Linked DNA regions of Schizosaccharomyces pombe. Changing the gene in region 2 together with the main gene of any one other region gives a genetic interaction. Each region holds a gene or a part of one and is shown on either strand. Other genes may lie near its edges.

Region 1 (6,662 bases), on a different chromosome or scaffold from region 2:
AATCGGATAAGTTAGAAAGAGAATTACAACAGCTCAAACTTTCTTCGCATAACAGCATGCTTCAATTAGACCAGCGTATACAAAGTATAAATATCGAAGCGGATCAAATTGCACATGCTTGCATGGAGTACAAAAACAATATATATAAAGAGGTTGCATTTGTGCTTGGTGAAATAATACATTTCAAGCTACACGTTCAAGACAGTTTGGAGGATTTGAAGATGGACTACCAAAAGGAATTGGATGACCTATCTCGTTCGGAACTGTAAATTCTATTCATCGTATTGTGCTGTCTACTATATTCACGGCTCATGAATACATTTTTTTATCACGATGGTGTTTTTGTGTTTTATGCTTTAATCTCTTACTTTTTAATTACAATTCTAATGAAGGTAATAATAATTCAACTCTCAATTTTCAAATGTAATTTTTATTGGTTGTGTTCCTTTTATGGACATCAATTTAGTACTACATAAGCACGAACTGTTTTGGCTAAAAATTTGAGATTATTCACCAGATATTTTATTGATTGCAGATTTTAACGTTTTTATACATCATATACACGACTATTTAAAAAGCTGAAAGTAGTTCAAAATTTATTATCGATCAGCTATCAGTTTATCTATTTGTTTCTGTATTATATTCCTTAGCTGTTTAACAAAAGTTGCGTTTTGAGATACTGGTACGAACCAATCCAAAGTCAGTAGTTTTTGGTTTAATTCATTAGGGAGGAAAGTTAGCAAACCAATTGACTTCGCATAGAGCAAAGTGTCGGCTGCTTGGTAGCGTACTTTTTCAATCGGGTTTAATAGTAGGTTTGCCGTATATTTTAAAGCATGATGCCTCAAAAGTTCATTTTTGGAAAGAAAAAGCGTCCGATATAACTCTAGTATCGCAGAAAGTCCCCCTGGTGATTTACAAGTAAGAGCCCTTCTCTGTACAATAAAAATCGCTTTTGACATGCTGATATCATTAGTATTTTGAACAAAATGTAAAAAAACATACCCCTTAACGTTTTGAAAGTCCGTGAAACAACCATATGCTAACAAAGATGTGAAAGATTTCATGATTGGAAAATAGAAACGAGCTATTTCATCCTCCGAAGAAAGTATGTCTATATAGAGTTGTAGAAGATCCCGTTTACCATAACGAGAGTTAGATTTTTTAAACGAATCTTCTAACTGGTAAACATAACTTAGATAAAATTCAAAACATTTAACTGCCTAGTAGAGTTAGTATATTAAGACATCGAAGCATATGATAACTTACTAAGTCACTGCCAAAACCATCGGCAGTAAATACTGTAATTCCGTAAAAAGCTTGAAGCCTTAAATTAGGTATTTCTAGCAGAGATATATTCAGTTCATTTAGTACCTCTCCATCCATATTTGGATTATTCCTGAAACTAGTGGTTAATAGCAGAATTTTAATTGAAAACTCATTTTACCTAATACGATTAATAATATTAGTCAAAGCTTCGCATCTTCTGATTAGGTAATGTACTCTGATTTGTTCGAGTGCTTGATATGCCAAACCCCTCAAACTATCAATTTTATCAAATGTTTGCCTTATAATATAGGAAATACAACACCAAACTATATCTTCACTTAATTTTTTTCCAGATGAATCTTTGACTAATAGACTGGAAATGGCCTTCATTGCAGGTTTGCGAATCCATGAGCCAACATCTCCTCGGGTATCTGTCAAATAATTGGAGCAAACCTGAAGTAATTCTTTGACAAATTCTTCAATGCTTTCTGTTTTTTCATAAGTAAAGGGAATAATATTTTGAAGCGCATTCGCAACAGGTGCTTGATAGTCTATTGAGTGCTGTTCATGTTAACATTGGTGAAAAAATTCTTTACTTACGAGTTGGGGATAAATATCCAATAAAAGCTTGCATATCTTTTTCTGGTATCGAAAACTTATATTCGGTAAATTCTGTAGAATAATGTATACAATTCTCGCTTCTTTACTTGTTGAGCATTTTCGTATATAGTCAAGAAGAACCTCCAATGTTTCTTCCATATCATCAAATTTAACAAGTACACTGTAAGCGTCACTGATGTCTTTTATGATTGTTTCCTCCTGTAAATCAATAGCAGCGATTATAACAGAAAATGCTTCACTGAAAAATGCTCTGTCAACACGAATATCATTGGCAAAAATTTGTTGAATTCCTTTTAAAATTCCCAAAATAATTTTTGTTTGCTGTTGCCTTGAAAATTTTTTTAAGGACAGTAGGTTTTTGTGCGACAGTAAATCATGGATACGATTTATATCGAACGGGAAGCTTATGGATAAAAATCCACCTATAATACTTGCCAATCCAATCGTATAGCCAAAAATAAAATCTGCATTACCAACAGACAAATAATCAAGTATGGGAGGAAGATAGATGCTTAGCTCTTTGGGATATTTAATAGAAAGTTGTCTTAGGGAAAAAGCAGAAAGCTGCTGTACCTTCACGTCCCAGTGCTGAAGGTTTGTAAATAGTCTTTGGAAAACACAGGAACGAAACTGAGGAAAATGAGCTACTTTCATACACAAGTCACCATAACAATTTGAAATATCCGTTACAGAAACATAGTTAATATGTGATATCAAAGAAAGCCCATCGGGAATAGAAGCGTGTCTGCCAATCACCTCAAATAAAGCAGCAGTTGCAGCTCTGCGCACATTTATTTCATTGTCAAACAATACCGTTTGTAAGAGACATAAAATAAGATTCGTTTGTAAGCCTTCAATTGCTGACTTAGAGTAGCAATGATAAAATGACCAAACAAAATAACAGGAGGCATCTCTGATGCTTTGTCCTGTTACTCTAGTTCCATATCTTACTTCGTATGATAAGCCCTAAATAAGGATTAGAATGATATAAGAAAACAAAGTGTACTTACTACTTCGATCAATGGAAGAATATGTAAACATTTACTATACTTAATTAAACCTGCACCTGCTAGTTTTGCGAAGAAAAGTATAGCTCCGTGCCAAACCAGTGGAGAAGTAATTGATATGTTTACAGTGTTTTCTATGGGGTTTAAAAACATATTTTCTGTCATCAATTCAATAATGGCATCGATAACTTGCTCAGCCAAATTCCAGGGCAAACGACTTATGATCTTGGCTAGCCCTTTGGCTGCAGACCAGCGTACAAAACTGTCTATGTCGCTTACAGATGACAATAAAAAATCAACAATAACCTCCAGATATATATGTACTTCTTCGTTAGAGTCATCAGGTAATTGAAAGAAACTATCTGGGTTACTGATCGAGTATTTCCAATTAGGGGATGAATTTACAGGCAGCAATACAATTCCCAATCTTGTATAACATTTGCATAATAATTTCCTCAACGCTGAATTTTCTTGTCCAACTAAATCTTCTCGTGCTACATTCAGAAACTGAAACGCAACATCAACTGTTTGAAGACAATCATTTCTCGGACAAATTTTAAGAAAAGAAGATAAGGAAAAAAGACACCCAATTTTGTAAAAGATACTTCTCTTAAACCAACTACTCTCACAGTGGTGTAGAAAGCCTAGAAGTAAATCCAAACCGTCATCACGAGAGAATAATCGGGACAAAACAAGACAAGAAGCTTCTTTGTCTATTCCCGAATTTTCTAAGTATTTAATTGCTATAGTGTAAATGGTCTTCTTCACATCCAAGGAATCATCTAATGAATTTAACGGGAATGGGGTATTGAGTGCTTGAGAAAGCCACAGTAAAACTATGTAGTGAAAATGCCAGGTATTATTTGATGATTCATTTAATAATGTATATAATTCCTTAATATATTGAACGCCAACAGGAAAGAGGACGCGAACAGCTTTATATCCTCTTATTTTACAAAACTGGTAAAGGATAACGGTAATTGAGTTACATTTTCCGATATTTTTCACTTTCAGTAAATAGCTAGCCAAGTTTGGAACGTATTTACTCAGTAGTTTATCGAGCAATGTCGGCTGAAATTGACAAAATTGCAACTAGAATTTTAATTAGAAAGGTCACAATATCTTTTTAAACATACATATTTAACAGCGACGTCTTTAAGTTTTTCCACAGAATGTGAAGAACTTCTATCGTCTAAAACATCATCGAGAATTTGCGATAAACGTGAGGTTATCAAAGACTCATCTATAGAAATAATTCCTTCTAAAGATTCTTCTTCTTCCATTTTTGTTTAAAATTTATGCTATGATTATTTTTGACTGTAACGACTTTAAGCAATTAACGCGTGTTGAATAAATTATGAAAAACGAATAAAGCGAAAAAATATGTTAATCTCCTTTCTTTTAGAATTTCTTTCGTCCTAAAAAAAAAACTTGGTCCCTAATTTTCTGTATTGCCTTGGACAATTTCCTCCTTTGTCACTCATGAGGTTGCAAATGATACCAATAAGAAAATAAAACAAGTTTGAATAATTTTAGACCTGTAAGATTTATTAACGATTAAATTTCACAAGCTTTGATATTGAAAAACATTATGAAAAGTGGGATAATAAAAAGGTAAATTATTGTGGTGGTGTAATCTGTACCCACTACTGATATTTCAAATCTCAAATCTAAACGTGAGCAGTTATTAAGAATGCTTTTGGAGCAACCACTGTGATATTTGTAAATGATATATTATTTCTGCGAATGAATTAGGAATACAGCCAGACAGTAAGCATATCTGGTAGTAAAGGGCCTATATATTGACAGCTCTAACGCAATTATTTCATAGAGTAGACATAATATTCACGACATAGATTCAGTAAGTTCGCATGTTATTCATTCTTTTGGTACAAGACTAGCATTTGATATTACAAATGTATAGCAGTATCGTTTAAATAGATCTTTACTTAAAGATTCTCAAACGTTACAATAATTTTCCCAAGATGTTGGCCTTTAAACTAGTCGGCATAAATTTACAGAGCAATTGTAAGTACTTGCTAAACTGAAGAGAATTTGAATTAGAGGTTTCAGGTTAAAACATATTCAGTGTTAACTATATCCAGCTTGTTCGTGATATATATTTTTGAGTTAAGCCGAAATTTATTGCATGAAATAAAAAATAAAAAAAAATAAAAAAATCACTTTTATTAGCTTACAATAAACCAACTTTTCTCGATTATTTGTTTACACATGTCAAATAAGGTGTTTCGATATACATCCCTGTTGTCAGAGCAACGATTTATATATATCGCTTACCACTAAATTTGCAAAGTCTCTTCAAGCCGTCGAATTTAATGAAAACCACCATGTTGATGCTAGTATTGCTAGTCTGCTCATACATACATTATGTATGTGCGCAAATTCGATTCGTCACTCCGGCGACAACAGATAGTATGGATTTTACCGCTATTTCGTTTTCATGGGAAGAATCTAATACGGGAATACCTCTTGAGGACATAACCAACACAGTTTTTTATATATGTAGTGGTAGCATGGATGCTCCTCAACCTTGTGCAGTCTTGTATACGTCCCCTAGTCCTTCTTCTATATCCCAAGCTGGACCCTTCGCTATTTCTCAGGTTTTTGGACCAGCTGGACGTCTTTACTTTCTTTGGGCACAATCTACATATGCTGGTGGTATAGTTAATGACTATACTGACTTTTTCACTGTTAATGGTCTAACAGGAACTTTTGATAATTACGAAATTTATGCGTCTTTGATGGCTCTTGGTGTGTATCCTTATGTTCCTACCCTTACTGGTTTTAGCACTTTTCTTGGTGTATGGCCTACAGGTACAATGCGAGATTGGTATCTATCTCAAACTACCGGTGTTCTCCGTACAGGACCTATTCAAAATCGACCAGATTCTACTTTTACTGCTGCTACGACCGACATACAACCGCTATGGGAAACTTCCTCTTATTCCGTATTTACCACGTTTGCAGGTCCTCCCATTGCCACCTCGACTGTCTTTGCATCTCCAACGTACATGTATACGTTGTATGCTAATTATGCTAGTACGGCCTCTAAGCCTACTATAATCGCAACTCCAACTGCTGGTTTAAGGAGACGAGACAGCTGGGCTCAAGCTGCTCCGAAACGTGGGATGCGTTTAGGTGAACACAAACGTGGGTTGTTATATTCCTAAATTGTTAATTTTTTTTAAGGCCAAAGCCTTTCATGTCATTTAGATTTTTCATTAGCACACTAGGATATTACTGTGTGCATTTTTGTCTGCTTCCTTTAGCTCAAATACATTGAGTCGTTCGTCAAAGAAAACAAAATATTTTGGTTATTTGTTATCTAAAGTCATGTTTTTTTTCATATTTACCATTATGCTGTTTCTGTGGAGTTAATTTCACGTAAAAGCATCTTCAAGTGCATGAGTTATTTCTTCATTCGTTCAATTTTTACTTTCCTTTCTCCCTTTTCATTCGTTCTTTTACATATTTAGGCAAAAAGAACTCTCGGTTAAACCCTTTTCTTTAGTTATCATTTTCTACATTTAATAAATAATTATGGTTTTATTTAGAATTTATTTTGTAAATTATACTTGTTTGAACGCATTGTTTAATTAAGTAATCGCGACAAATAAATAAATTGTGTGATGACAGTGCTATGCCAGAACGCCCAAATAGTCGGAATCAATTACTAAATTCACTAAGTTAATATTGCAAAAGCATTACAAGTAATGTTCAATTAAATCATAACATTAAATAAAA
Region 2 (3,608 bases):
ATTTTTTCTACCATTGCCATTAAGCTTGTAGCTCCAGTTTATCTAGTAAATCGTCAATCATCTCCATTTTTTGATTATATTCGCTTTCATAAGGTGTTAATGTATCTACAACTCCATCAATGCACAAATCCTCATGGTAAATGCCAAAACGTTTTGAGAGGAAATAACGAATATCATCAATGAGTTCGATCGTGTCTGTTTCTTGTCTCTGTAAAATTCGATCAGCACTTTCTTTGACTAATTCACAGAATTCAGGATCGTCAATCAAGTGCTCCAAATGATTTGCCATATATTCGGAAGCGTATTGCTCCAGGCGAGGCGTAGACGTATCCCAAGCTGTTCGTAGAATATCGTAAATACTATCTATAGGCTCTTCTTGTTTAGTAATAACTATAGAAGCTAAAGATTTCAAGCTTCTATCTTTATCTAACGACAACATGTCTGCAACGTAAACTACATCTAAAGCTAATTCCGGCGCTATATCAGTTTTGTCGGTATATAAAAACTTCAATACAATTTCAACAACAGAACTTGAAAAAGGTAAAGACAAAACCGGTAGTTCTTGATTGCTTTCCAAAAATGGTCCTGCTAACATGTCCAAAAAATATTCACATCTGCACATGATGGCACGATGGACGGGATAGCGGTGTGTATAAGATTGCAAGTAAGCATCGTGAAACGAATACTGATCGGAAGGTTGGTTAAGAGATTCAATGGGTACTTTGTAGTTAGAGATTATATAATCCAAAAATTCTCCTAGATCATTTTGAGTTTTTGCCAACTGGATTTTCTTCCAATCTCTAGAGTGTAACTGCTCGCGATCTTTTTCATACAATGCGATAAAATCGTTTAACTGGAATTTTTTTCCAATACTCAGAAGAGCATTGTTATACTGTTTGGTGAAAACAGCATTTGTGTCTAAGTAGAGATATCGCAAAATTGATTCAAACTCTTTAGCAAAATGTTTGACTTCAATTTCATGTTCACTGGGTCCCAATTTCGAAAATTTTGATTTAAAATATGAACTTCTGGCAGCTAAATAGAATTTATGAGCAAAAACCCTACCATATTGACCGGCAAAGACTATGTCAGTAGTAAAATGTAAAGCCGAGTTCGACAACAAGGAAGTTATGTGACTAGCATAAGGTTGGGACTCATCAATGGCTTTAGTAATATCATAAGAAAGAAGCATACGGCGAATATTATCATTAAGGGCACCATACAAACATCTTTCTCCTTGAAAAGTATCTCGTTCGCATAAAGCACCATTTTCAAGAAGAAATTTTACAACTTAAGCGTGAGAAAATATAATAATTGAGAGCAAAACATTCATAGCATACCTGGTTCATGCCCGCAAAGACTCGCAAGGACTAAAGGCGAGTAGTCAAATTGGTCTACTTGATTAATAGGTGTGTTATAGTTTTCGACCAAACTGGATTTTGAATTTAGCAATTGCAGTTAAAATTGTTTATCGATTCAATATTTTTAAATTGCACATACCTCTTGACAACTTCCAAATCTCCACGCCGACAAGCTTCACAAAGCTCAAGAAATTCTTGGGTATCATTTACTGTGAAAAGTGAGGAAGACAGCTTCTTCTCATCCATTGCCTTTGACCAAAGGTCATACTTGGAGAAAAGCTTTTTAGAATTTTCACCACCTTGCAATTCGACATGTGTTGTCCCTGTATTTTGATCTTGAGAAGCCATTTTAATAAATGAAGAACAATTAACAACCGATTAAAAGGTTATACTGAGCAAAGATTGCACTTATGTTCAACAGTATTATCGACTTAAAATTTAATTGATCATATGCGAAATGTAGTTGGTTAACGAGGGTTCTATGTAATTGTTCAAGTTCGATGTGATTTGTGAACGACTGACCAAGGCGGCGTCAGCATTTAACTACTACGTCTTCCACCACTTTATATATTCTTGTGTTTTCCGTTTTCATTAATCATATATCTTAAGTTAAAATTATTTGCTACATGAATGAGATAACTCTCTTTATTAAATCTTCCTCTGCAAATGCTGAACGAAGGATTAACCCACAATGGACTGTTAGTCAGCTTAAGACCAAATTAGTTCCTATCGTAGGGACACCAGAACAATACCAAAAACTTACGTATGAACCTGCTTCCAGTACAGTCCCTGGACACGTTTTCACTAGCGAAGAAGAGAATTTAGACCTAGGGGAATTCAAGCTTCAGCCTCTGGGGACTATAGTCGTTGAGGATACACGCCCTCCTCATTTGCGTCTAGACTTTGACGATCTTTCACAGGTTGATAAATATGTAATGCCTCGTGAACAGTATGAGAACAGGACAGATTCTGTCTATGCCTGGAAAAAAAGAAATCAGCTTGGACGATTCAATCCAGACTTTGAAGCAAGTAAAGCTTCTCGACAAGAATCTTTAAAACGTGAATTAGTCGACTTACAAAAAAATTTAAATTCTAGGTGCTGTGCAGCAGGAGAGAGATATGGAACTATTCGCTATATTGGACTAGTGCCTGAAATTAATAATGACAATCTGTGGGTTGGCGTCGAATTTGATGAACCAGTTGGGAAAAATGATGGGACAGTCAGCGGAAAGAGATACTTTAATGCGAAAAATAAACATGGATCCTTTCTTCGATCTTCTGAAGTTGAAGTAGGAGACTTCCCTCCAGAAGATATTTTAGAAGGTCTTTGATGTTGTTATTCGTTTTACAAGGTTCCATGTTAATGATTTCCTTTTTTTTTGTTAAATCTTGTATGCAGGCTTCGATTGCTAGGAGATGACTCGCTTAAGATAATGAACAATTTTCTAAAAAAATGAAAGTCTAAAAAGTAAATCATTTAGTTTAGTCATTTCTCAATTAAAATATTTTTACTCAATCAAAGAAAGCATTATAACTGTAATGAATTGTTTGTCTGGCTTTTCTTTTTTTTTTATTTACATCGTTTTACCGTAGTACCGCTAATTAAAACCACGAACGAAAGAAAACTGTGTTAGGCCTATTTGCGCATTCCTTCAACCCCTTTATTTATTTTTTTATTCAGTTTTTGAGCCAAATATTAGAAGTACTCTGATAATTCTTTAAAAGATACAAAGCAGCAATCTCAACATGAAAGATGATCACGATGCATGGGAACCAGAAGAACTAGTCAGTGACAATAACTCTTCAGAAAATGAGCTACAAGAAGACCAAAATTCTTCAATAACTTTTTTACCACCTTCAGTTAATAAATCGAATCCCGCAAAATCGAATTACTATCATTCAACAGTCACTGATGATATTTCCAAGAGTCAGCCATATCGATTAGGAGTAGATGAAGCTGGTAGAGGCCCTGTCTTAGGACCTATGGTATATGCTGTCGCTTACTGTCCAGTCGATTTCGATTTGACCAACTATGGGTTTGCTGACAGTAAAACTTTGGCCTCCTTAAAGCGAGAGGAACTTCTGAAATTAATTTGCAACAAATCTAACGAGCTAGGAAAAAACGTTGGATGGTCTACTATGTCTATTTCCGCAAGAGAATTAGCTGCAGGAATGCTGAGGTACCGGAACAAGTATAATTTAAATCTTCAAGCACATGATACGACAATTGACTTAATAAAAAAAGTT

Evidence for each region.
Region 1: of alp11 (region 2) and alp1, extra expression of one rescues a mutant of the other (dosage rescue), as found in Schizosaccharomyces pombe (2 studies listed by BioGRID).

Annotation. Positions count from the first base shown.
Region 1 is NC_003423.3:3,352,546-3,359,207, forward strand, and holds alp1 (tubulin-specific chaperone cofactor D Alp1), read right to left. Parts: upstream 4,503-6,662; 5' UTR 4,181-4,502; coding exon 4,034-4,180; intron 3,990-4,033; coding exon 2,901-3,989; intron 2,857-2,900; coding exon 1,870-2,856; exon of another isoform or gene 1,831-1,869; coding exon 1,448-1,830; intron 1,400-1,447; coding exon 1,270-1,399; intron 1,224-1,269; coding exon 1,006-1,223; exon of another isoform or gene 964-1,005; coding exon 600-963; 3' UTR 501-599; downstream 1-500. Other genes in the region: protein Ndc80, read left to right, coding at 1-269; knh1 (KRE9-like protein), read left to right, coding at 5,234-6,088. UniProt on the Schizosaccharomyces pombe protein: Has a function in the folding of beta-tubulin. Microtubule-associated protein that is essential to direct polarized cell growth and to position the nucleus and septum to the center of the cell during mitosis.
Region 2 is NC_003424.3:2,251,481-2,255,088, forward strand, and holds alp11 (tubulin-specific chaperone cofactor B), read left to right. Parts: upstream 1-1,902; 5' UTR 1,903-1,987; coding exon 1,988-2,692; 3' UTR 2,693-2,960; downstream 2,961-3,608. Other genes in the region: ubiquitin ligase Btb3, read right to left, coding at 20-1,290, 1,341-1,432, 1,501-1,709; ribonuclease H2 complex subunit Rnh201, read left to right, coding at 3,108-3,608. UniProt on the Schizosaccharomyces pombe protein: Required for microtubule function and cell polarity. Involved in the proper folding of alpha-tubulin.